2 linked regions of the Astyanax mexicanus genome follow. The protein of the gene in region 1 purifies or fractionates together with the protein of each later gene. This does not show direct contact. Links are inferred from orthologs where the notes say so. Each region holds a gene or a part of one and is shown in the gene's direction. Other genes may lie near its edges.

What was found.
Region 2: the proteins of eya4 (region 1) and dctpp1 purify together in Homo sapiens (affinity purification with mass spectrometry; 3 studies listed by BioGRID and IntAct, with this or other methods). This does not show direct contact. The link is inferred for Astyanax mexicanus from reciprocal best matches to the Homo sapiens genes EYA4 and DCTPP1.

What each region holds. Positions count from the first base shown.
Region 1 is NC_064420.1:44,141,095-44,154,330, reverse strand, and holds the start of eya4 (eyes absent homolog 4), read left to right. Parts: upstream 1-8,117; 5' UTR 8,118-8,254; intron 8,255-8,639; exon of another isoform or gene 8,640-8,842; intron 8,843-13,236. Other genes in the region: slc2a12 (solute carrier family 2, facilitated glucose transporter member 12), read left to right, coding at 1-47; tbpl1 (TATA box-binding protein-like 1), read right to left, coding at 1,963-2,042, 4,304-4,398, 5,638-5,741, 5,877-5,940, 6,038-6,120, 6,488-6,631. UniProt on the Homo sapiens protein: Tyrosine phosphatase that specifically dephosphorylates 'Tyr-142' of histone H2AX (H2AXY142ph). 'Tyr-142' phosphorylation of histone H2AX plays a central role in DNA repair and acts as a mark that distinguishes between apoptotic and repair responses to genotoxic stress.
Region 2 is NC_064432.1:20,653,427-20,665,787, reverse strand, and holds dctpp1 (glutamyl-tRNA(Gln) amidotransferase subunit B, mitochondrial), read left to right. Parts: upstream 1-7,026; 5' UTR 7,027-7,300; coding exon 7,301-7,768; 3' UTR 7,769-8,321; downstream 8,322-12,361. Other genes in the region: gatb (glutamyl-tRNA(Gln) amidotransferase subunit B, mitochondrial), read right to left, coding at 144-342, 4,791-4,904, 5,150-5,303, 6,361-6,521. UniProt on the Homo sapiens protein: Hydrolyzes deoxynucleoside triphosphates (dNTPs) to the corresponding nucleoside monophosphates. Has a strong preference for dCTP and its analogs including 5-iodo-dCTP and 5-methyl-dCTP for which it may even have a higher efficiency.

The sequences.
Region 1 (13,236 bases):
CCAAATCTGACCCAACCCAGGAGGAGAAGTCCCTATCAGCGGTCTGACCCTGCACTCAAGAAAGAGAGAGAGTGAGAGAGAGAGAGAGAGAGAGAGAGAGAGAGAGTGAGGGAGAGATGTTGATTGTTAGAGATTGGAGAGATTGGAGAGAGTATTATCTGTTTCTGACACATGAACTGAGATACAGCACAGAAATGAGTTTAATATGCAAGTGTTTGTTGTCTTAATCTTTTTTAAGCACCTTGATTGTTTAAAAATGAATGCTATGGAAATGTGTAGAGTAGTTTTGGTACGGATGCAGATTTTAAGACATCTGTAAAGCCTGGATTTAAAAAAAAGAGAGATTTTTGTCTTTTACTATGTCTTTTAAGTTTTAAGATTGTTTTTCAATACACTTTTTAAATTCTCTTCTGTGTCATGATTTTTTTTTTGTAACTGTCACACAGTGTGAACAAATTTATTAATTGTTAGATATATATGCTTTCAAACAAAAAGCAACACATTAATTGACATTTTGCATATCGTTTTGATCCATTTGCCTTACAATGTTAGGTATTGATGGGTATAACTGTGGGGGGGTCCATTTTTTTGTATAACTAGTTTGTTAAAACAGAAGCTGAGAAATTAACCAGTATGATTTGGAAGAAATGGGCAGAAAAAAAATCAGTAAATGTTGAATTATGTTGGTATTTGGTTTCCGATCCAATCTAAATTCAGTCTAACTGAACTGTTTTAGACGCCCATCTTAAGTGTAGTGCTTAATTTAATATTTTTAAGTGTAATAGTCCAAATTATAATTGATCTGCCATAATTTTAGTACCATCTCCCATAAGTACATCCCTCTTGTGCCACATGAAACTCTATATAAAATATAGATGTATTACAGACAGAGTGATCTATTTTATGTGTTTATATCTTTTATTGTTGGCTTACAGTCAATGAAAACCCAAGAATTATTGTCTCCGAAAATTAAAATATTATATAAGACCAATTGGTACTGCTGGAAAACCAAATTCCCATCTCCATAAAAACAGCATGAAGTGCTGTAAGATTTTGTGGGAAAACAAAACTGCACTGACTTTAGACTTGCTTTTCTTCTGAGGACAACTTTTATGGAGATGGAAATGTGGATTTCATTGTCCAGCAGGATTTGGCACACTGCCAAAAGTGCCAACTGGACTTAATAGTATTACTATCATATTCTAATTTTCTGAGATACTGATGTTTAAGTTTTTATTAGCTGTATAAAAGTACCTCTATAAAGGAAACCTTTCAATTATATGCTACTGATGATTGGGTATTGGGCCCTCACTCTCGAGGCTCTCAACAACATTCCTTTGCGTTCCTTTACCTCCATGTCATGCCATGAAAAAAGGCATACAGAGCACCAGGGTCAGTTTTAAATCTTTATTATAAAATACAAAATGGGAACATTTACATAAACATGTATGCTGCAGATCGTTTCACAAACCACCAGTTTTTTTGTTCAACAGAATGCAGTAATCAATATTACATCATATCCTATTTAATGTCTCTAGTGTGTTTGCCCTTTAACCTCTCTTTAATGATCTGACCTCACCTCTCAGCAGACATGGTTCCACTAAAACCTTCCTCAGCCTCGCTCTCTGTAAAACTCAGACATTTAAAAACAGACACTGATTTCCATCCGCAGATCCAGTCGGGTGATCGTGCACCAAAACAGCGCTTGATTAAAACGTAGATTCAGGAACTACACAATGACGACGAGGCCACTGTTCTGTAACGAGAGGTCAGAGTTCAGAGGGCAAACAGCTCAGGCTGTTCAGACCTGCTCAGACTCAGGCTGAAGAGGTGCTGTCTCTGTCACATACATTACAACAGTTTAAAGTCTTCAACACTTAAAACACTCATTCACTCATAAGGTGCTTCTTCATTTCAGACGGTGCATGTGTGGACGTGTGTGTGTGTGTGTGTCTCAGTTCTTCACATCAGTTTTTTCTGACACTCGAGCAGCAGAGGGTATATCTGTTCCACAGCCGAGGCGACACTCTGAACATTTGGTCCTGGAGAGAAAGTGAGAAGAGGATTAAAAGTTCATACAGGTCATCATCAAAATGCTAATATACTGTACTAGTGCATCTCAAATAGTTTTTTATATCATTGAAAAGTTACTTAACTTCAGTAAAATGTAAAAATCATATTATATAGATTATATATAGACCAACACCAGCAGATGACATGTCTCTCCAAACCATCACTGATCATCAGTAAATTTTACATTTTATTTGTAAATCAAGAGACCAGAGTCTGGAGGAGGAGTGGAGAGACACACAGTCCAAACTGCTTGAGGTCTAGTGTGAAGTTTCCACCAATCAGTGATGGTTTAGAGAGACATGTCATCTGCTGGTGTTGATCCACTGTGTTTTATTATCAAGTCTAAAGTCAGTGCAGTTTTGTTTTCCCACAAAATCTTACAGCACTTCATGCTTCCCTCTGCTACTGACAACTTTTATGGAGATGTGGATTTCGTTTTCCAGCAGGACTTGGCACACTGCCCACACTGCCAAAAGTACCAGTCGGTCTTATATAATATTCCAATTTGTTTTCTAGTTTAATTTAAATGTTTTTTGAGATGCACTAGAATTTTCAAAATAGAAACTTATTAGGAGAATGGAAAAAATGAAAAACTAAAATGTATTCAGTTCTAATCAGATTGCTGAGCTACATTCCCATTATAAGCCATATTGATAAACTCATATTTGTTTGCTTGCATCATAGATTTTTGCTCGCATTCAGAAATGTGACCTAAACAGGACTGGGCAATAATTTAATTTCATTATATATTGCAAAAATGAAACTCTTTCAATCACACTGATATGATTTTTTAGTTTTATGACATTTCAAATATTTTTATGTAGAATATTTACATCATCTGTTGCTGACTAACATTAATCACAGGTTCCATTTTTGAGATGTTTTCAGATACAGACATTTGTTTTGGGCATACCACCATTTAATGTGTTTTTTGTATCAATCAATGTATTGTGTATGCAATATATTGTATTGTATGCAATATATTGTGAGGTAAATTGCGGTCATATTGTCCATGCCTAGGCCAAATCCTTGTTAAAAAAAAAAAATACACAAATTAATGGCAAATCACTCATTACTATTTTGTGCAATAACTACTTTTTGTGGCACTAAATTCTTTAGACATCTGAATCCACTTTTTATCTTTGTAAAATTTCTCAACAACAGCAGATCATTTGGAATGGCCTAGTTTTATATTTGCAACTGAATTATTCAAAACTTTGAGCATTGCTCAATTATATACACAAAATACATTAATAATTTGCAATAATTTCGCTGTATATTATTCCACTAACTGTAGATAGAGAACTACAAGTAGAGAAAGCTGTGATCAGCGTTTAACAGGCTAAATCAGTGGGTAAGTCTTTAAGTTATGTGGTTAATGCTGTAATCGGGTTACCCTCCATATAAATAACACAGCAACAGCACTCAACAAAGACTTGACAAATCCTATGGAATTTTCCATACATTTTAATTGCATCTGTAGGCTATGGAAGGACTATTAAAGCCGATATAAGCCTTTTATATTCTGCTTTATGTTCAACATTGTTATTATACTAATATATGGCAAATCTCAGGACTTGACTGGATCAGCCTGACTTGGCAGGTTTTTTTTTTAATTCTGTCCAGTCATGCTGTTAGTTCATGACGCGTGATTCGTTGGCCAGGTTTCCAGCCGTGTTCCTGGAGTACTCATTGCTGGGGGCACTTTAGTAAAGCATTGTAGTATATATATAAACATTGTTTAATAAATATATTTAGTTCCTAACATTTTGCAAATATATTTATTTAATATTTATTTGTCTCCACAGACATTATATATGTATTATATAGGTGCCTTGTCAAAATAAGAAGAGAGTCCTATTCTTTTGGCAATATTTATCTAAAGGGAATAGACAAGCTGTGTTTATGTAAATGTGCACACCTGGGTGCAGCTTAAAGTAGATGTGTGCATTCATTAGAAGTGGTGTCCTTTTTTGCTGCCTGATAAAAATGCTGAATCTGCAACTGTTCTAATTTTAATTCAGATTAAAACTGCCCAAATATCATTTTTATCATTATCATTAATAATATCAAAAGATCATGTTAGAAATTTCTGTACTATTTTAATATTACAAGCATACCTATTGTACATCCCATATTAGTAAAAGTGGACATGTTAAAACAGGAAAATACAAAATATACAGTTCATAAGGTTGTGCAGGACCAGGGGTGGGACCTGTGTATTATTTACCTGTTACTGTGATGCTGCCAGTGGAAAACACTTGCACTGTGGCCCTGAGGTTTTTGATTCTATATGAAGCAGCTGGATGAATCTCAGGCTCATAGCTAAAGAAAACAAAACAACAAAATAGAAAATCTCATCAAACTCATGAAAAAAAAAATAACTTAAGCCCAATTCAAGATACACAGAAACACACATTTGAGCATTATTCTCTTAGCAACTGGTACTCTACCTAATCTTCCTACCAATAGAGGGAGCTATTACTCTTCTTATACAGTGATCTCCTTTAAAGCTCTTCTTCAGTCTATAAAAATAGTGGTACAACAACACAGCCTTGTGGCCTACATGCACTCTACATGTTACTGCATTATAAAAAAAAAAACACATTACAATGCAAAATGCACCGAGATGTCCTGAAATGTTAAGTATGTGGTGTATTTAAGGCATTAAGCCTTCAAACCCTGTGTATATATACTACATCCACACTTTACTCAATCCTTCACCATTAAAACTACACTACTACCAGTTTACACTAATTTCATAGGCCCTAAAATAGAACCCTGAGGAGCCCAGTTACCACATATTTTTTGAACAGTGTATGCATTACGTGTACAAATTAATTTAATCATTACTAAATCACTGAGCTTTTTTCCTGTAGTTTGTTTCTTCTGTCCGGGTGAGTACTGGAAGCATTTTCCCCTTTGGTTTGGTTAGTTTTCACACAGGCACAAACCTAAATGCACCAAAATGTGTCAACAAACCACGTGAGCATGTGGTCTCCTCTGATTGATCAGTGGTATCTGGCTCCTGAATGTATATATATAATATTTGGGTCATCAGGAGGATGGATCAGGTTCTCACCATAAGCACACCACTTCGGAGTTCGTTTGGAACCAGTTTTTTACACCTGCCGAAACAAACTGTACCAATGAACTAGAATTCTTTTTACCCAGCCTAAATACTGCTGGTGTGAAAACACCCTACCTCTATTGGGCAGTGCAGCTGATTATATTATTTGTTTTGCATATGTGTGCTCCAAGTACTCCAATAGTTGTTTTATTTGTTGTCAGTATCACAGTTTTAGAGTGTTTCTACAAATCACAGTACTGCAAATCAAATTGATCAACAACTTTCCCCTCTGGGATTAATAAAGTATCTATCTGTCTGTTTGTCTGTCTGTAAAAATGACTGGTCAAAATAATGCAATAATACCCTCCTTAACATTGTCATTAAAATTGAGTAATACATTTGGCAATGTAATACAATGGCATATCAGAATCACAATTAACTTAATGCAAGCATTCCTCAGAGACGTGTGTGTGTGTGTAAATAAATAGTTGTACCTGGCGATGGGACGGTTGTTCTTAGTAAACTCGATGAGACGGATCTGGAAAGGCATGGAGCAGACTGCCAGGACGTTTACAACCTTAAAGTCCGAAAACCTCACCTGCAAGAAAGAGAGAAAGAGAGAGAGACACATGTGTCAGATTGTTTACCAATAGAATACGTATTAACAAATTCATACTTCACAATACTAATATGTATGTGATTAATATGCAGGAGTAATAAACTAAAGGTAAACCTTGAATCCTATCTTCTGGAGGCAGCGAGCTAACCTTCTGGCACCGAGTTTTGCTTCATCCTCACTGTAGAGAAAAATTATATTTACATACAGGGCTTATTACATGCTTGTTATTTGAAAAATGAAGAAATAAATACATAACATTTCTTTCATTTTAAGACCTTGTTGCTCCAGTGCAAATGATTTTCCCTGATGACCATATGGAGGCAGTGATTCGAGGTTTCCGCAGCTTCATTAGAACTTTCTACAAGGACAAGAAACACAAGCAATGAATAATGAGGCAGATTGTCCACATTTACCACATCCAAGATATTGAGAAAACTGAATACCCGGTACAGGTGTGTTAGGTGTTGGGTTAAAGCTAGAGACATGATACTGCTGTCTACAGATAACAGATATCAAAACTCATTATATCATTGTTTATCTTCTCTATCATCTCTATCATCATTATTACCTATATCCTCATTTCCTCAAAAAAACATTTCAAGATGGGTTAAAACGTTAATTACAGACCTAAATCTGCACCCATCAAATCCTGATGCCAGTTCCTCTTTAAACTAATTAATGTATGAATCTCTAAATTATAACCAGTAGAATTTGCTGGAACTTACTCCCACTTCTGGTTTGTAGATGACGTTAGTGCCCTCCAGGCCGATGGTGCGCAGGTTCAGATGGCACCTCGTCCTGAAGACAGAAACCACGTTGGTAATGATGATGTCCAGCGCCACATCGTTACTCTGTTCCACAGGTTCCATTAAGCTTCTTTGGACGGAGTGAACTAGGCTTTTTAAAAATACATGTCCCTTTAAAATATAAAACCTGGTGGAGAAATAATGACAGACACACAGTTACGCTATACATTAATGATGGCATGGTAGTTGATGTTCCGTGACTGCATGTCACCCTGTAAGCATAGCCTACCTAATGTAGGTGGTAATTTGCCATCAGGAGGCCCTAATGGCTTACGGATGCTGTTGCCATTGGTGAACCTTCTGGAGCTGTCTGCTTCCTCGACACTTTTCCAAGCATTACAGAAGAGAGTTTTAATGCACTGCACTGGAAGTGTAAATGTTTGCAACCTTGCTAATTACCATTACTTCTGAGAAAATATATTAATATTGTTATTATAATATTGAAGGATCTACTAGAAACACCTTTGTTGTTCACCTGAATTGTTAGTTTGTTAGTCTCTAAAAACATCTAGATTATTAAATGCAGTATATTATCACTAAATAGTGTGAACATAGTCTACCCTAAAAAATTGAATAAAAAAAAATAATATCTAGCAGCATCTATCTGATTGACCATCTTAGATTTTGGCCAGTTTGATGGTTTATCTGACCTAAAAGCATGATCTTTCTCACTAAGCAAGGTAACCAGCATGAATTGAATTACTGAAATTAAGTAACTTTTTAATTATATTCCAATTTTAATACAGATGCATTTGTACATACATATTATATACAGCTCTGAAAATAATTAAGAGATTACTTTAGTTTCTGAATCAGTTTCTCTGATTTTGCTATTTATAGGTTTATGTTTGAGTAGAATTAACATTGTTGTTTTATTCTATAAACTACGGACAACATTTATCCAAAATTCCAAATAAATATATAGTCATTTACAGCATTTATTTGCAGAAAATGAGAAATGGCTGGAATAACAAAAAAGATGCAGAGCTTTCAGGCTCATAGTCATAACGTTTTAAGACTTCATAAATCAATATTTGGTGGAATAAGCCTGTTTTTTAATAACAGTTTTCATGCACCTTGGCATGTTTTCCTCCACCAGTCTTTCACACTGCTTTTGAATAACTTTATGCCACTACTTGTGCAAAAACATTTTTGAGTGGTCTCTTATTTTTTCCCAGAGCTGTAACGTTATACACATAACGTTATATATAAAATAACGCTAATGATATCAAACCCATATATCAAGCAATAAGAGGATGTTAAGGCCGTGAAAACTATTGAAATATTTTATTCCCTCATAAATTATAAAAACACCTGTGCTGGTGGACAACCGCGTTTCCATGGCAACACGTTGATTACCATTATTAGCGACAGTCGCTAACTCTGGGTGAGAGTTAAGTTAGTTGCTGCTAGTTAAGACACGACATACAGGTTTTTGAGGTGCAGCCGGATTTAGTAAATAAAAAAATAGATAAAAACTGACTAGTGTTAAATAAGGACTTGGTAGAGATTTTACACACAGACTTGAAGAAACTTACGCAAAATTGGTGCAACCCAGCCCTGGACTCCCGCACACCAACCCCTGCCAGCTTCCTCAGAACACTGTGAAACATTCACATTCATGTTTTCAGACTGTGGAAAAGCCTTAAAGATTTAACCAGCAACTCTTAAAGAAGCAGAAATAAGGTAAACCAGCCCTGTTTTTGCTCATTTTACCTTTAAAACAGCTAACTAGCTAGGTTAGCTAACCTAACGTTATGCTAAGCTAGGTTAGCTGCACTGTTTAACTAACCTAGATAAGCTAAGCTAGTCTGTTTACACTACGCATTTCCGCATTTCGCGCCTTTTTATGCAGCTTAGACTTTTTTTTACAGATATTCCTGCACTCTTAACAGCAGCAGATATTTAATAAGACCCCTAATTATCTAATTTATCTTTTCCACAGTGTGTGGAAATCAGCAGTTAGGCTAACTTAGCTTAGCTAACGTTACTAAGGCGTTACTAGCCAGCTAACGCTAACAGTGCATCCCTGCACTACAGCAGCATCAGCAGTCAGAAATGAAGCACTTACTCGTGGGCGGGTTTGGTTAAAGCGGGCTGAGAGCTGCTGCTGATATCTGTATTCAGTGTTAATGCTGTAAACGCCGCGTGTCTCTTTTAGCTCCAGGGTTTAATAAAAACAGCATAACACTGAACAAAAGGCTCCGGAGTGAACACACACACACACACACATACATACATACATACATACAGACACCCGGCTACTGTTGTCATCACCGTCATGTCCTGTTATGGTGCGGGGAAGTGAGGCCTGCTAGCAATGCAGCGCCATGCAGTGGACTCGGAGGGTTGCTGACAGTCACTTATGTTCACTATTCGTAAAACCGACATGTTTAAGTTATAGTTTAAGGAGAACTCCGGTGTAAAATGAACTTTTGGTGTAGTGAACATGATAAAAAGTACTTACCTTTGTTGAATAGCCCATCACCGCCCTCCTACAGCTTTCTGAGATACAGTAATTTTGTAATCTTTCTGTACAATGTCCGTATCTGGGCATATTTTGCCCCAATAAATTGCTTTTTACACCGTTATCCAGTCTTAAAGTAGCTCCAAGCCTCCTTGCTAGAATCCGTAAAGTTGTTATATCCTGACATTTAAAACAATGCATTAATAACTTTAAAAAAGTACAGGAGGATTTGAGATGTCCTTTGTTATAATTGTGGACTGTAAATGTGTAAAGATTGAATGTATGTTGTGTTCAATTCTATGTTCAATTAAAAAATATATATAATAATAATAATAAAAAAAGACCTCGACCAAAAAAAAGGAGAGCAGGAGCCAGGAGGCAGACTATGCGGAGTCTATGTGTATGCCTGTCATTGTCAGTACAGTAATGGTGGCACACGGAGCTAAAAGCTAGCAGCCCAGGATGTAAACATTGTTTAGTAATAAGCTTCTTGAGAAATTTTTAGGATGTTAATGCCTCGTTTTATTGTGTTTTTTTTTTTGGATTCTAGCAAGGAGGTGTGGAGCTACTTTGAGCCTGGATAATGGTGTAAAAAGCCCCGATACGGCCTTGTACATAGTACAAGGGGGCAAAAAAACACAAAAGCTGTAGGAGAGCGGAGGTGGGCTATTTAACAAAGGTAAGTACTTTTTATCATGTTTTACTACACCCAAAGTAAATTTAACACCGGAGTTCTCCTTTAATGCAAGCTATGCAGTACAAGTACTAGAAACAATCATGCTTTTATAATATTTGCAGACTGTAAAGCAAAAAAACAAAAAACATTACATTTTGGAGAAACAGAAGTAAAATAAGGAAATTGAGAGACCTCATAACATTACCTGTATTTTACAGAGATTATCTTATGTACACCTGTGAACACTTCTGAAACTAGGCTATTAAACCCAAAGTCCAAGCCTTTTTATATGTGGCATTGGCAAGGGAAAACTACCCTGAGAAGAACCACAGTCTGAATGCTCCTACAGTAAAGCTTAAGTAAGATTCTATAATCAAGGAACCCTGTGCTTAGCACTGCAGACTTTACTATTTTTAAAAATATCTGCATATTTACTAAAGCTCTGTCTGTACTTGTCTACTATTTTAATAAAGTTTAATTTTAAGAACGTATTTAATTTCGAAAATCTTCACAAAATTATGGTAAAACAGTGTCTCGGATTAGTAGAGGCCCAAATGTCTACAAATGTGTGCTTGGAACAGCAGATTTCACTTATATTACATTTTCACCATTAAACCAAGTGTACTAATATATTACACATTTTGGCTGTGAAAAAACGACTAGAGTCCTAAATCTAATCCCAGAATAAAACAAAATACTGTGCAAATAAATAAATTAATAATCAATGTCATGTTTATGTAATGTCTGATATATTTACCAGAAGAACCAATAGTTTAATTTCTGCATATCAATTTTAGGTTTACCAGTGATTGGTTAGGAATTGCTTTTATCTAAGCATACATGGTGCTTTCCTGAGGAGAGGTTTTCCAGGTGCTTCCACAGGCATGGCTTTTCTTAGGTAGCTGTTAGCCTAGCACACATACCTTCCTGCTTTTTGGGCTTTAGTTAACTGGTTTGGTGAGTTTGAGCTCCACTTCTGTAGACACTGGCACTGGAAAAGCTGCGGTCAGAATGGTTGAAGATGATTCAAATTTAGTAATCAATTTTCTTTTTAATAGAAACACAACAGTGTCTAAGGTTCACTGTTTGTCACTTCTATGTACGTAACAGTTATTGTTCAGCTATGCTAAGGAAAATAGAGATTTCTATTTTAAGGCACCTTACAAACATTGTTAAAATATTTGTGATTGGCTTCACCTGTATAATGAATTAATAATTACATGGGTTAATATCATCAGATACAGGCCAGACTGTATCTCTACAGGATGTAAACGTGTCTAAGACCGGTTGGCTGTAAAAAATTGCACTTTTGCCATGAATCCAGGGATTCGGGACGCGTCCAACACAGCACTTAATGAGGTTTGTGTTTGACACCCTTCCTGTGAAAGGCTGTGGCTGCAAGACACTCTTTATTCACGGCTTTCCACGGCTGTGTTTATTTTGTCCTGTCTCAGGTCCAGTTTTGGAGGTCAGCAGCTTTTTGTCCGAAGTGGACACATCTGGTCTGACTGCATTGTTTGTGGTTTGCGGTTTTTGGAAAGGTGACAGCGGGATCTAAGCAGTGGCCCTGACACGGCTGGGCCGAGAGACTGGTGCTGAGGGCTCTCAGCTGTTGTAGTGCACCATGAATGAGAGCAGAGTTAGAGTTTACTGAATGAACTCTGTCTGCCCGGACCCATGCCTCTGTTCTCACAGTTTAACTTTTAAACAGATGGTGAGCATGAGAGATTTGGGGATTTTGCTTTTATTTGCCCATCATTTGTTATTAGAATGTGTTTATGGAGACATATCAAGTTCACACAGTGCATTGCTAGCGTTGGATGCACTTGTATCTCTAGATCTGAAATTGTGAATTACCGAAATGACAATGTTCTCAACTTTAAAATGACCATGGTTTTTCCAAGCAATTTTGGACCATTTCTGGTTGTTTATTAAGAGTTTAGACCAAAGACTGTAGAAAACATGAACATAATTGTTCTATTCAATTGGTAGACCTAACGTCGTTTCCCCAGACCAATAATATTTCAGAATTTAGTCTATTGGAGCAGAAACAAAGCACCTTTTTTCCACTGGATGTTCAGTTTGTAATGTTTCAGTGAAATGTTTCAACAGAAAAGATGCAGTTTACACTACAAGTTCCACTACAACCCTGCTAATACATGTAATGTACAGAAACACCTCTAAATAAGTAATTTTATTCATACGTGTATCCCCACATTTTACAGCATAGCAGAATACAGATTTTAAAACTGATTATTGGGGGAAAATGTAAAAAAAAATTAATATATGGACAGGACAGATAACTGTTGGAATTGGATACTGGACATGGAAATACAGTTTAGAGGAGAAAAATGATGGCAATGGCAATGGGTGGAGCTACACATCATACTGCAACCAGCCAGCAGAGGTGCACCTGTGGTGGCTTTACTTTAGGAGATGCTGTCCATGTTTTCTACAATCATTGAGGCCAACCATTTGTTGGATCCACAAACCAAAGCCTTATTCTATGGCACCTTTGAAGTTTAGCTTTTTTAAATTAATGTTTTTTCAAAAAATGTTTTTTAAAGAAAAAAACTAAATGTAGTAATGAGTTGAGTTCGAAAATTTACCGAAAAAACACATTCTTCTTCTCCATCCTCCCCTCTCTCTCTCTCTCTCTCTCTCTCTCTCTCTCTCTCTCTCTCTCCCTCTCTCTCTCTCTCTCTCTCTCTCTCTCCCTCTCTCCCTCTCTCTCTCTCTCTCTCCCTCTCTCTCTCTCTCTCTCTCTCTCTCTCTCCCTCTCTCCCTCTCTCTCTCTCTCTCTCTCTCTCCCTCTCTCTCTCTCTCTCTCTCTCTCTCTCTCTCTCTCTCTCTCTCTCTCTCTCTTCCTGCACTGGACATTTCCCAAACACAACAGCACAATAGCTTTGGAGTGATTCAGTGCTGTTGTTTGGGTCCTCCTTGGTTACCAGATAGGCTTTGTGAAATCTCAAGGGCCACTCTGGCAGAAATATACTGATGTAAATAAAATAAATTCTGCTTGGAAAGCCCTGTAGAGATGTCCCGAGCTGTTTACTATAAAGCCTGAGATTTAAAGCAGGTTAGTCCAGTGTCGGACCACAAGCGTTGTCCCCCCTCCGACCCCCGCCCTCCTCCTCCCTGCCGCTGCAGCCTTCAGAGTCTTAAGAGTGTTTATAGACTATAAAATAGAACTTAACGTCATTGAAATTCTCTTCCTGAGAGAAATAATGCAGCGTTCATTAAGATAGAAGATACATAAACAGGCAGCAGAGAGAGTACACATCCTCCATCACTCCCTCTGCTCCTTCTGCTCCTCCGAGAGTTCAGCCCAACGACTGCACTCTTTCTTCTCTCTTCTATTGTCTTCCTTTTCATATATCCTTTTGTTCTCTTATCTTGTTCTATCTGTTTTCTTCTCTTCTCATATTTTCACTTCTCTTTTCATCTCTTCCTTTAAATTTCTCCAGTTGTTCCTTCTTCTTGTTCTCATCTTGTTTACCCTTTTTATTTCTTTTCTTTTTCTTC
Region 2 (12,361 bases), on another chromosome or scaffold:
GGGAGGAACAGAGAGAACAGATGGAGAGAGAGAAAGAGAGAAAACGTTATGGAAATAAAAGAGTGTACAGATTGAACAGGTGATGTTCTTCTTTTATTACAGTCTGATTCTCTGCATGGTGGGATTAAAGCAGCAGGCCGTACCTGCTCTGTTCAGGTCTATCAGAGTCTGGCTGTTCTGCTCGTCATGCAGACTCTTCCCGCTGTCCTGCTCCAGCTGGATCTGTTTGATCCTGACACGCCTGCTCATCACCTGACCCCTCTTCTTCCCTCCTAAGTAGCTGTAGTTCAGTAACCCATTCACTGCAATGGGGAGTCTCTGCTGGGTGATCTGGTAACCTGCCTGAGAGTGAACACACACACACACACACACTTTATAATCTGAAATACCGTGCTCATGTAATATAACTAGGTAGAGGCAGAATAAGGTAGAGTAAGGTAAAGGGAGGTATAGTAAATGAATGAGGTAGAATGAGGTAGAGTGAGGCAAAATGAGAGAGCGAGGTAGAGAGATGTATAGATTGAGTGAGGTTGAGGTCCACAGTGAATGCACACACTAACAACTTCTTATATTATGGAAAAATTAGTGCAGTCAAGCAGTTGTCTCTAAAAACTAATTTTATTTTAAAATCCTTTTTATTGTGCTTCACATCAATATCAGGATATTCAACAGCGTTTTCACACATCACAGTTTTTCTCCCTAATCTGAAACAGTCCAGCCACATTTTGTTCAGTGTCATTTCAATTACTCTGACTTTAATTAAAACACTTTGGCCAAAGGCCCAATCCAGCACAGAAAGTTCCAACTGCAGATCCAATTCCATCCGAGGAATTTGTTGGAATTGACACGGATACAATCCTGCCATATGGGCACTTAGGCTCTGACAGATAAAAAACATGGCTGTCAGGATGTTTACAGCAAATTAGCTGGATTTTAGCTGCAATTGCTTTTTGGAAAGACAACCATTTTTGGTTGCTTTTAGATAAAAACTGCAACTGCAAATAAAAAAACCCTTAATATTTCATTTTATTGTGGATAACATAAACCCAAAATATACAGCTCCTGAAAAATTTAGAAACCACTTCAGTTTCTGAATCAGTTTCTCTGATTTTGCTATTTATAGGTATTTGTATAAATAAAATGAACATTGCTGTTTCTTTAATTTTACAATTTTACTACAAACATTATTTATCCCAAATTCCAAATAGAAATATTGTCATTTAGAGCATTTATTTGCAGAAAATGAGAAATGGCTGAAATAACAAAAAAATATGCAGGGCTTTCAGACCTCAAATAATGCATTATTTAAAAAAAAATCAGATTTTTAAAAATTTTAATAGTTCAGAAATTAGTATTTGTTTGAATAACCCTGGTTTTTAATCACATTTATGCATCTTGGCATGTTCTCCTCCACCAGTCTTACACACTGCTTTTGGATAACTTTATGCCTTTACTCCTGGTGCAAAAATTCAAGCGGTTCAGTTTGGTTTGATGGCTTGTGATCATCTATCTTCCTCTTTATTATATTCCAGAGGTTTTCAATTTGGTAAAATCAAAGAAACTCTTAATCTTTAAGTGCTCTCTTATTTTTTTCCAGAGCTGTATTTCATGCTTTTTCTTTATATAAGTCAGAATAAGTCAGGACTACAGACTTTTACAACCAATTTTGTATTGTTTTGTTAAAAAAACTAAATGGACACCCGTCTTGAAGGCAGCACATGGTAATATAAATCATTATTAATATTGACTTATTAAAATATTTTTGTAAATGAATGCAGTACTGATTGAAAACATAATATTCTGAGACTTGATATACTGATATTTTCTTACACCTCTAATCTAAAAACCTGTATTTTGTTCTTTAGGCTGTTTGGTCTTCAGTTAATTTGGTCTTTAGCTCGTTTGGTCTTCAGAGAAAAGATCCTACACCACTACTACACACTGTTCCCATAGCAACTCCTCTGCTATTCCACAAAAACAAGAAACAAAAAAAGAGGGGGAAAAAGGAGAGGATGATCATTAATCATAGTTATTGGCGTGCCAAAAGAAACAGAAAACATATACACAGGGAAAAAAGACACCGCCATCTGTGAAATCCACCAAATCAATTAATTTATTACTGGAACCAACAAAAACAAACGCAACTGAGCAGTGGAGAAATTGGATTTGCGAGGCTGAGGCGATGGATGAAGGAGAGTAATGATACACAGTTTTTTGCTTTATTGTCCCTCAGGATGCTCTCCTCCAGATTTAAATGGGAAAATCATCAGTGGTTAGTGAATGCAGGAGAAAACATCCACTTGGGGTATACTGGATATCTGTACTGCAGCCAAATAATAAGCCAGAAAAATAAAACATGGACTACAACACAGTCGATAACCGGGAAATTATTCTAATGGTGCACAACTCTACTATTGAGCAGGATTAGATGTTATCACACCTGAAAGTGCAGTCCAGAGTCTGGACCGAGGTTCATGTATGTGTTGCATCATATTTTGTACATTTAGTCCAGTTAGTTTTGGTTGAACACTGTAGTTAAGTGACTTTACTACATCCTGATATCATCATGCTAGCATCATCATGGGTGGAGTCTCCTTGTACTTCACACTGATTGGTTTGTAGACGGGTGTCAGTTTAACATGTTGCCTTTACAGATATTGAGGCTAATTCTGCCTTCCTGACACAATTTTACTTCACGTAAAGTTTCAGTTTAATCTAATCTATGAGCTAATGGGTTCAGGCTGACAGCTGATTTTGTCACCAACAATTTGTTGTGCTTGCTGAAAAGTATTTGGACATGGTCAAATTGTTTTTTTTATAATGCTGCCATGATCTATAGTGCATTCAGCCAGTTCATTAGAAACACCGTATGGCTGCGACTAATATTATTGGAGAATACACATTAAATTTTCCAGATATCTGATATTTTTCCACCACTAAAGCCCTTAACTCAAAGATGTTGTCCATTTTCCTGCCTACTCTCATTCATTTAACTGTGTAATTCTTCTTTCTTTTTTACTTCTTCTTTTTAAAAGTCACATGAATTCTGATCTGGCTGTTCAGACTGAGTTGTATTGCCACAAATCAAATATAAATTGGCCTAATTCGAAAATTTAAATACACGATCAAGTGTGCTTTTTGCTGTTTACACTGCCACACAAACGACATCCCTGTGCCACATATAACATAAAAGATCAGATTTTGGGCCACATTTACCTGCTGTGTAAAGTTCTGTATGCAAAGATGTACAATCTCCATTACCCTTTTTTAAAATCTTGATAAATCAAAATAATTCTATTAACCTCCCTGTCCGAGATAAGGGCTGTGTAAATGTATTACTATAAAAAAAAAAAAACCTAAACTATCGGTTTAATTGTGACAGAGATGCGGAGGCTTTATCCAGGCTTTGTGTCAGAATTAAAGCGGCAGTCACGCTGAACGTTTCTACCAGCTCTAATAACATGGCTCGGCACCCTGGCAGCTAATCCACACGTCTAATTACAGTCAGTGTTCTTCAGCAGAGCTTCAGGACACACGGACATGCTTCACAAACGCCACTCTAATTCCAAACCACTGCTGGGGTGAAAACCAGTCAGGGGCCTGCTGGTACTGGAGAATTGGGCAGAAACTCAGCACTTTTCCTCACGTATGTTTGAAACAATATTTGACACTTATTCTCGCTTTTTCTGCTAGTTATCAGCACAGCAGCGGGGCTGTCACTGCTTACCAGAAGTCTTTACTGCCTCTCAGGGAGAAAAAAGACCAGCAGGTAATCTTATTAGAACATTTTTAATCAACTGGTCACACTGCAACGCTGAATGCACTGCTTTAGATATTGGAAGAAAAAAAAAGAAACCAATTCTAGAGTTAATTTAGTCTGTAAAATCTCAGAACTGCTTTTAGTTCAACATACAGTATGTTGGAATTACACTTTATTGCTACTTGATTTTTAAACATGCTTTAAACACACTGTAAATATTATATACCAAATGTAATTGGACAGGAAGTAGTATTGTGTCCCATGACTTTTGTCATGTCCTATGGAAGGTAAAGAACACTACACTGACCTGTGGGATGTGTGTGTGGTGACTCCTGCATTGATTTTAGTCATGCAGGTTATGCTGGTGATGATAGTGAACATCTCACGATACGATAATATTTGTTATTTGATGAAACAATGATGATTGTTTTTTTGGCATATTAACAATTATATTTTCTAACATAATTAAAAATAAAAAAGCTGCAGTTAAAAAGTAATTTTACCTATTTTTTATTGTATCCTATTTTGGGTGAAAGGCTAGCATGTGTCTTCTCATACATGCAACATGCAAATTCAGCCACCTCAGCCATTTCTGCCGGTGTTGCAGAAATACCGGGTATCCAGCGCACTCCCAGGAAAGTGCAGCAACCCAGCTCTTATACATCAGCTAACAGACGCCTGTGCTGACCAACGTTACATTGGGAGGGATGAGGGGACAGAGCGCCAATTAACCACCCAGAGAGAGCAAGGCCTATTGTCCTCTCTCGGACTCCGGCTGCTGATGGCAAGCAGCATGATCCAGGATTTAAAAACAGCAATCCTCAGATCACAGGGGGAGCATAAACTACACCTCGGTCCACTGGACCACTCAGAGCCACCAGGCATGAGTTTCAACAGGTTCTACTGCTACATTTGCCATGTTTGTGCCAAAGTCCTTCCACAAATGCTACAAACATACTCACACAGTTTGCTTTGTAGTATACACAATCATTAGATTTATATTCTTCATAAAATAAAAAAAAATGCTCACAGGCATATCAGCGTAAAAGTAGTGCTTCCTGTCGAAAAGAGACTTCCTGTTAATGGTGCAGTTGAAGGCCAGGCCCGTTATCACTGCTGCCTCCACACACCTTTTGTTTAGCACCTAAACAAATACAAAGCGCAGACAACACAGACTTAGTACCATGGTAAAATGAAAATTCATGACTTCTTTTATGACTAAGGTTAAATACTGAACATTTCATTAGAATTTTAGTATAAAAAAGATACAATTAATCATTATACAAAGAGATATTTGTGCTCTAAAATGCTCTAAATTACATAATTAGAATTGTTTCAATATTTCTATATACAGAATCTCTACCTTAACCTGAAAGCTCTAAAACCTACCGGAAGAGTTCCAGGCAGAGAAGCATCTAAAAACGCCACTGATGAATTGGGTGGGCTGTAGAAGGTCACGCGTGAGCTGGAGAACAGTTTAGAGTTCGAGTGGATCTGTGCATGGATCTCCAGCCCAACGACCCCACACAGCTGAGGGGAAATACTAATGAATCAGAAAAACAGTCTGTTATTATATATATTATATTAATATAACAAATTACAACAACCTTGCAATAACAAACAACATGTTAAGGGTTTTGGAAGTCCTGATAAAACATTAATTAGCCAGCATGCTAATGCTAGTGATATTAGGGAACATAATGATACAGTGACCGTCCCCTTTAATGCCGCCTTCTTGTTTTTATACTTTAGTATAAAAACATGTTGTTTTTTTTTATATGTTTTTTAATTTAGTACAGTATTTAGTATATGTCACTTAGGGACTTTATGAGTTTATGACTAAGAAAGTGCTGTAAGGAACTTATCTTAAGTCACAATCTTGACTTAAGCCTTTATCTGAAAGAGGTAGAATCAAATGATCTGAGCAGCTGAGGGTGTAGGAGATTTTACCAAAGGTGGCCATACAGTATCATACGGACAGAATTTAGGCAAAAAGACAATTTTGCCAAAAAATGATTTTAAGTAATTATTTTAGGAGGGTGACAATATGTAACTGATGTTTCAAAAGTCAGTATCTTTGAAGAGCGTGTTTATAGTCCTCAGTCTCTATAATTTAGTTTTAATTTGTTTAAGAACGATTTGGCTGGAGACAAATTGCTGGTCTATAACCATCCTGCATCTTGTTTTCCTCAGTTTAGACTTTACAACATTTAAAACTCACCAATAAATTGTGTTTCTTATTGTCAAGCCTTTCATTAAACATATTATAAATTACAGATTTAATATGTATATTTATATATTACTGTAATCTATTACTGTAACGAATAACCTGACTTCCTGAGAATGATAACAGCATAATAGGAGGTTTATGGGAGATTTTACCACAGGAGAAGATTTAGGTGAAATATTCAAAGCTAATTATTTTAGGAACAATATTCATGTATAACCTGCTACAGTAATAGAAATACTGTCACGCGTTTTTAAGCCACAGTATAAAGGGTTTCACAGTAAAACACTGTGGGTCTGGTTTCTTTATAAAGCCCATTCAGACCCTGATGACCCCTGGATGAGAAGAGGAAACACTAAACCCGCTCTCTTACCGGTTACTCTGAGTGCTGGGCTGAATCTGTCGTGCGGATCCAGATGTGCACAGACTGCTGATCGAGGGGTTACACAGCTGAACACCGCAGACATGTCTAAATCTCATAAATCCACACAATCTCTGCACTACTGCGCTGTGTCCCGATGAGGAGGCAGCCATTGCTGAGTGTTTATAACGCGGGGAGATCTGGGAAACCGAGTTCTTAGCAGCTCTGTGGAAGAGCGACAAGCGCAAGAGCGAAGTTCCTGAGAACTACATTTCCCACAATGCAACAGTACCACCCCGCGTATTGACGCATTACGTCGGGATCCCACGTGCGAGAACCGAATCTTACTGTGCCTGGATATGTAAAATTAACAGATTAAATAAAAAATCTAAAACTCATTTGTGAACCTGTTTAAAATATATATTACTGTACCAGGAGATATATTAATAGTACCTTCACCTTGAATCTTGAGTTAATAAAGCAAGAGTCTTCTTACAAAAATAATAATTTTAGTGTTAAGTACGTTTACAGGTGAATACTTTTATTTAATAGGGAAGGACTAAAAATAGAGTACATACTCTTTTCTTTTTAGGATTCAATATATTTTAGGTTAACTGGAATAATCTTTTAGCCGTATCTACGGCTCTGATAAATACACACGTGAATCCCGCCTCTTCCTTGGTGATGCACTTTCATCATTTCCGTCGCACAGGCAGAGTTGGCGGGAGATTTTCATGTGCTGCAGTGCTGAGTCTGCTAATAATGCCAGTTTAATTGTTTATTTTTTTATTTTAAAAAGCATTTTGTTTTATAATCATTTAGCATTGAGGCAGTGGGTCAGTTTCTCTCTTTTTCACTGTGAAAACATAGGTAGAGTTAGTTGCCCATTGCGCGTTTGTTTTGAATCTGTTATTTTACCTCTTTTTAATCACTAAAAGTAAACTCCGTGATCATGGAAGCTCAGCAGAACGGAACCGCCCGCGTTAACGGAGCGGCGCGGCCCGCGGAGACCCCCGAGCAGCGCTCCGACCCGGAGGGAGGGCAGTTCAGCTTCAGCGCCGAGCCGAGCCTGGAGCAGATCCGGCGGCTGCAGGCCGAGTTCACAGAGGAGCGCGACTGGAGCCAGTTCCACCAGCCGCGGAACCTGCTGATGGCGCTGGTCGGGGAGGTGGGCGAGGTGGCGGAGCTGTTCCAGTGGCGCGGGGAGGTCTCCGAGGGCCTGCCGGGCTGGAGCGACTCCGACCGGGAGAAGGTCGCCCAGGAGCTCAGCGACGTGTGCATTTATCTGGTGGAGCTGGCGGAGAAGTGCCGGGTGGACCTGCCCCAGGCCGTGCTGCGGAAGATGGAGCTCAACCGGAGAAAATACCCGGCCAGCAAAGTGCACGGATCCGCGAAGAAGTACACCGAGTACACGGACTGAGGCTGGCCGGGCTACACGCATTCTCACCTGGCTACACGCGGCTGGAGAGCCCCTGCTCTGAGTTACAGCCGCGGAGCTGCTTGTGGATAAGCCCTGAATCCCCTTTGCTTCAGCAATCAGTCTTTTATTTTAAATCTATCCTTTTTTATTTAGGACATGATTTTATCTCGTTTTTTGCACGTGTGTACAGACCTGGTAAAGGAACTGTGGGGGATAACTTTGGGACTTTTGCACTTGTTTCATCACAAACGTGCCAGTTTCGCCCTGTTTGAACAATCAGTACTATTTTATTTTTTTAAATCTTTGCTCCAAATGGTTGATTTTGACATTTGGTCTACTGTAAATGACTCAAGAATATTTGTTCACTGTCCATATTTGAGTAAGAGCCAAAAAGCATGTTACTATATTTTATGCCTTCGTTGGAATATAAAGAAATGGTTCCTAGTCTTTATTTTCACCTGAAGTGCAACGTTCACCCCTTTTGCTGCCACTAAAAAAAACTACACTTAAGGGTAAAACAAAGGTTACCAATAAACTGTTTTGGTTCTTTACAGTTTAGAGTTTTCTTTGTTCTATAATCTGGTTTAAAGCTGCTCAGCAGAAACACATTTTTGGTAAAAACCGATGATTTTAACCAAGTGATATTTTAAGAAAAATAAGGGTAAATTGTTTATAATGGTTTAAAAAAGACTGAATATTGTGTACAAACAAACGTGTCTGTCGTACAGTCTTAATTCTCAAATACTATATTTTTTGTTATTTTTTAAGCATTACTATGGTTCATTTTGTGGTGTAAAACGAGCTGGGAAACAGGGCACATCAATACTAATTAGAGGTGTGACGAGAAAGAAATATATTATTAAAACTCACAAAATGCAAAAGTGCAGGTGATTTAAAAAGAATGGATATTTAAGTAATTATCATGTAATTCTGATAATTAAGGTTTACTCGTACTTATAATGGATTAGGTATGATTTATCAAATGCAGTGAAAACGGAGCCCAAGACATACTCTAATTATGTCCGCTTAGGGTCAAGATATAATATATAAATATGTTAAAATAACATTGAATAATACAAAGTCGTATTACACATATAAAGTGATTTTTATATTATTTTTGTAGTTGGCACTCCAATATTAGGTTAATAGATTCTGCTGTTGGCTGCTGCCACTGTAGCTAAGCAGCTCTGTGGTGGATAATAACATACTTAGCTAATAATGGGAGAAGTGAAGAATTTTCTCTCTGGAGCAGAGAAAAGAAAAAAGAAGCTTGTGGAAGAGAAAAAAAATTGCAGGATTAAGGTAGGTTTAAATATTAAACTTTAACAATAAGTTTCCTCATCATTAACCAATTAGGCTTCCGTTCAGTTTCTACTGTGAATGTTTGTTAGCTGGCTAGCTAACAAAAAGCCCTTTAGCTAGCATTATATATGCTACCAAATAAAATAAAATGTAAGCTGTTAAATATATAAACTTAGGTTATTAAAGATATCAGGACGGTTTAGTATATTCACTTTTACCTTATTGTAGGTTACTTACACTTCTAATGGTGCTGTAATAATGTCGGTTTATTCCTCTTCTGAAGTTAGCTAATGCTAACTCTCCGGTACTTCAGGAATACAGCAGATATATTATGATTTTCACGCGGATGTTTGTTTGACTTAACATTATTTGTTTTTTAAAAAGCTGTTAATATTTAGGGCTCAATTGTTGTTTTTTTAAACAACTAAATGTGTAATACGCAGTAAACTCTGGGTTAAATTGGAGAAAAATGTAATAAAAATAAAACAAGCTGTGCCAAGTAAATTATCTAAAAGCTCTCAAAGTATCAAATTACACCAAACGGTTAAGAATACACTGCCTGAGTTTTAAGGATTTTTTAGGTGTGAAACCTAAATATAATGAACCCTCTATAGCATACCTTATTTATGTATTTAACTTATATATTTTATTTTAAATATAATATTACAAGGCATACCTGCGTATCTAAGTTACGTCCAGTACTATGAGGCGTTAAAGTACCAAGTTCATAAATAAAAATATGTATATATGCAAGAATATATGAAGAAGTATATTTGTCTTACTATATTCATACATTCTTGTTGTAAGCTTGCTAGAACTATATATATTAATTTGTCGCCTTGTTAAGGCAATGTTACGTATATGTCGTTTATCACATTTTAGTTAGGGCCGTCATGATAAGACAAAGTCTCCAAAATAATTATTTTTTCTCCCCAAAAATACAATTAATTAGAGGGTTAAAATAGTGGACAAGTACATGCAGGGCTTTGTGTGTATTTTAAATATATTTTTTTTCTTCATTACAGCAGCTTACCTTTTACTGTAAAGACAGCTGGACTATGTTGTCTTGGTGCTTTATCTGAAATGGAAAAAGGTTTGTAGGTTTTCTAGTTTCCGAAGTGTCCACAGATGTAAACACTTGTGCTGTAAATACAATACTATCTGTAACATCCAGGAAAATGTTTGAGACGTAGCAGAAATAGAATATTGTTTTTATAATTAGGTCGTGTTTATCAGTGCTGTTAACAGATGAAAATTATCCTCGCTCAGCTCATCTGGAGACACTATTTCCTCACTTTGCTTTTAAAAAAAAAGATTATAAAAGCAAGTTAGTTCTCACAGTTACTATAGTTACCTTAAACATGGCGGTTTTGTGATGTTATGCATAGTACACACGTCTGTCAACGACCTATAGCATGTTTGATAGTTAACCTTATGTCATGATATACACAGAAAATCATCAGTAAGAGTTGAAGGGTTGTTCAGCTATATTTTTAATTTTACCTGGCCAAAGGTGAACACATTATACACATCCACAATGTGTATAAACAGCCACAGGAAAGAAAAGTGTATTTTCTGCTGATGTTACTTTCAAATAGATTAAATTAATATACCGCACTGTATTTAAAAGTGAATACTAATTTGAAAATATTTGTGAGCTTGCTACACAATAGCCAGAATAACACGACTATGATGAAATCTAAATAAAATCAGTACTAATGGTAGTGGGTGGGTATGATACACACACAGTGTATCTTATGGAATAATGAGTAATCTGGTGTTGAGGCGGTGGTATGATGGGGGCCCAAATGAAATTCTGCTTAGGGCCCTGTAAAGACTTGGGCCAGCCCTGAGTAAAATACAGAACAGTGTGCAGGTACTGCAGCTGGTATAAAATCAACAACTTCTCTCCTGTATGATCTCTCTGTGAGTGTATGAGTGTGTGTGTGTGTGTGAGTGTGTCTGCCCTAAAACTCATCTGCTTCTGTACAGGGTTGGAGCAAGCAAGGCTGATACAAGGTTTTTGCGGATGATGCAAACGTTACTGGAGTATGAAGGGTGAGTGTAATTATAATAGTTAAATAGCCCCTGTTTCCCATTCATAAGTGTGTTATTAGTGATAGAAACAGTGAATTTTGGGTCTTGGGAATGTTGAGTGTTTCTAATGCCAAATGTAGAAGAAACAAGACACTGAGTTTGGATAGAAATTACATGAGTCATGCCACCCAGTCATTGTAATAATTAATATGTTTATTGGAAAAGGCAGCAATATAAATTTAAAAGACACATACAGAGGATAGAAAGAACAGAGCATGCTCTTTCTCTCATCTCCCTGACAACCATCTTCATACCCCTTTCTGGGTAGAACAGAACATTGTAGAATAATTCATACATGATGTGGTCATATGCTTAATTATACTATGGTAGTGTGGATAAAGTATTCAGGAAGGACCTTTGTTGGACAGTGGTTTGGTGAAAAAAGATACACTAAAGCCCTTTCCGGACAGGATTAGTTTGTCAGGAGGTTCTGGGGTAATTTTCTCTTTTATAGGAGGTCCTCTGTGATTTATTTCAGTCTGGAATGACCATGTATGTGAAAATCACAGGCTCAATTACTTACAGTTTTTCACTGAACTCTGTGGTCCTCCAGTTATTTTAGTCCCATCCGGATTCACATCTAAGTTTCGTCATCTCGCGTCTGGATGCAAGAGTTTTATCACTGAGTAGAAGGTAAAGTAGAATAAAAACCCCCATCCATAACAGAGCCCCCAAGCTCCTTAACAATGACTAATATACGCAGTCTTACAGAGCTCATCTTATAACATGAATTACAATCCTACACACAAAATAAATATTTACATAACCAGTTATTCACTCTAATACACATTACATTAGGACATATAGAAGAGGTCGGTATAATCTATAGACAGATATAATCCATTATATTAACATCTCTTCCTTTTACACAGGTCAACTGGAACACCCCCTGCAACAGACATTTCCCCCTACCCAATTAAGGGTATAGAAGCTGGGTGACCCGCCTGCTGCCACTCCCTAAGGACACAGGTAAGTAACAAGTTAATCTGCATAAATGAAAATTAAAAGTGTAAAGTGTCTCTAAAAGTCTTTTAGGAGTTTAGTGATTGGTAAGGAGAGCCTACCATATCTCACATACAGTATGTGACCATATATCTAGGAATATATCTAGAACAGTACATTCTGTGATCACATAGGATGCTGCAAAATAGAGGAAGAACAATCCAAAATTCCTCCTGTTGTTATAAACACCAT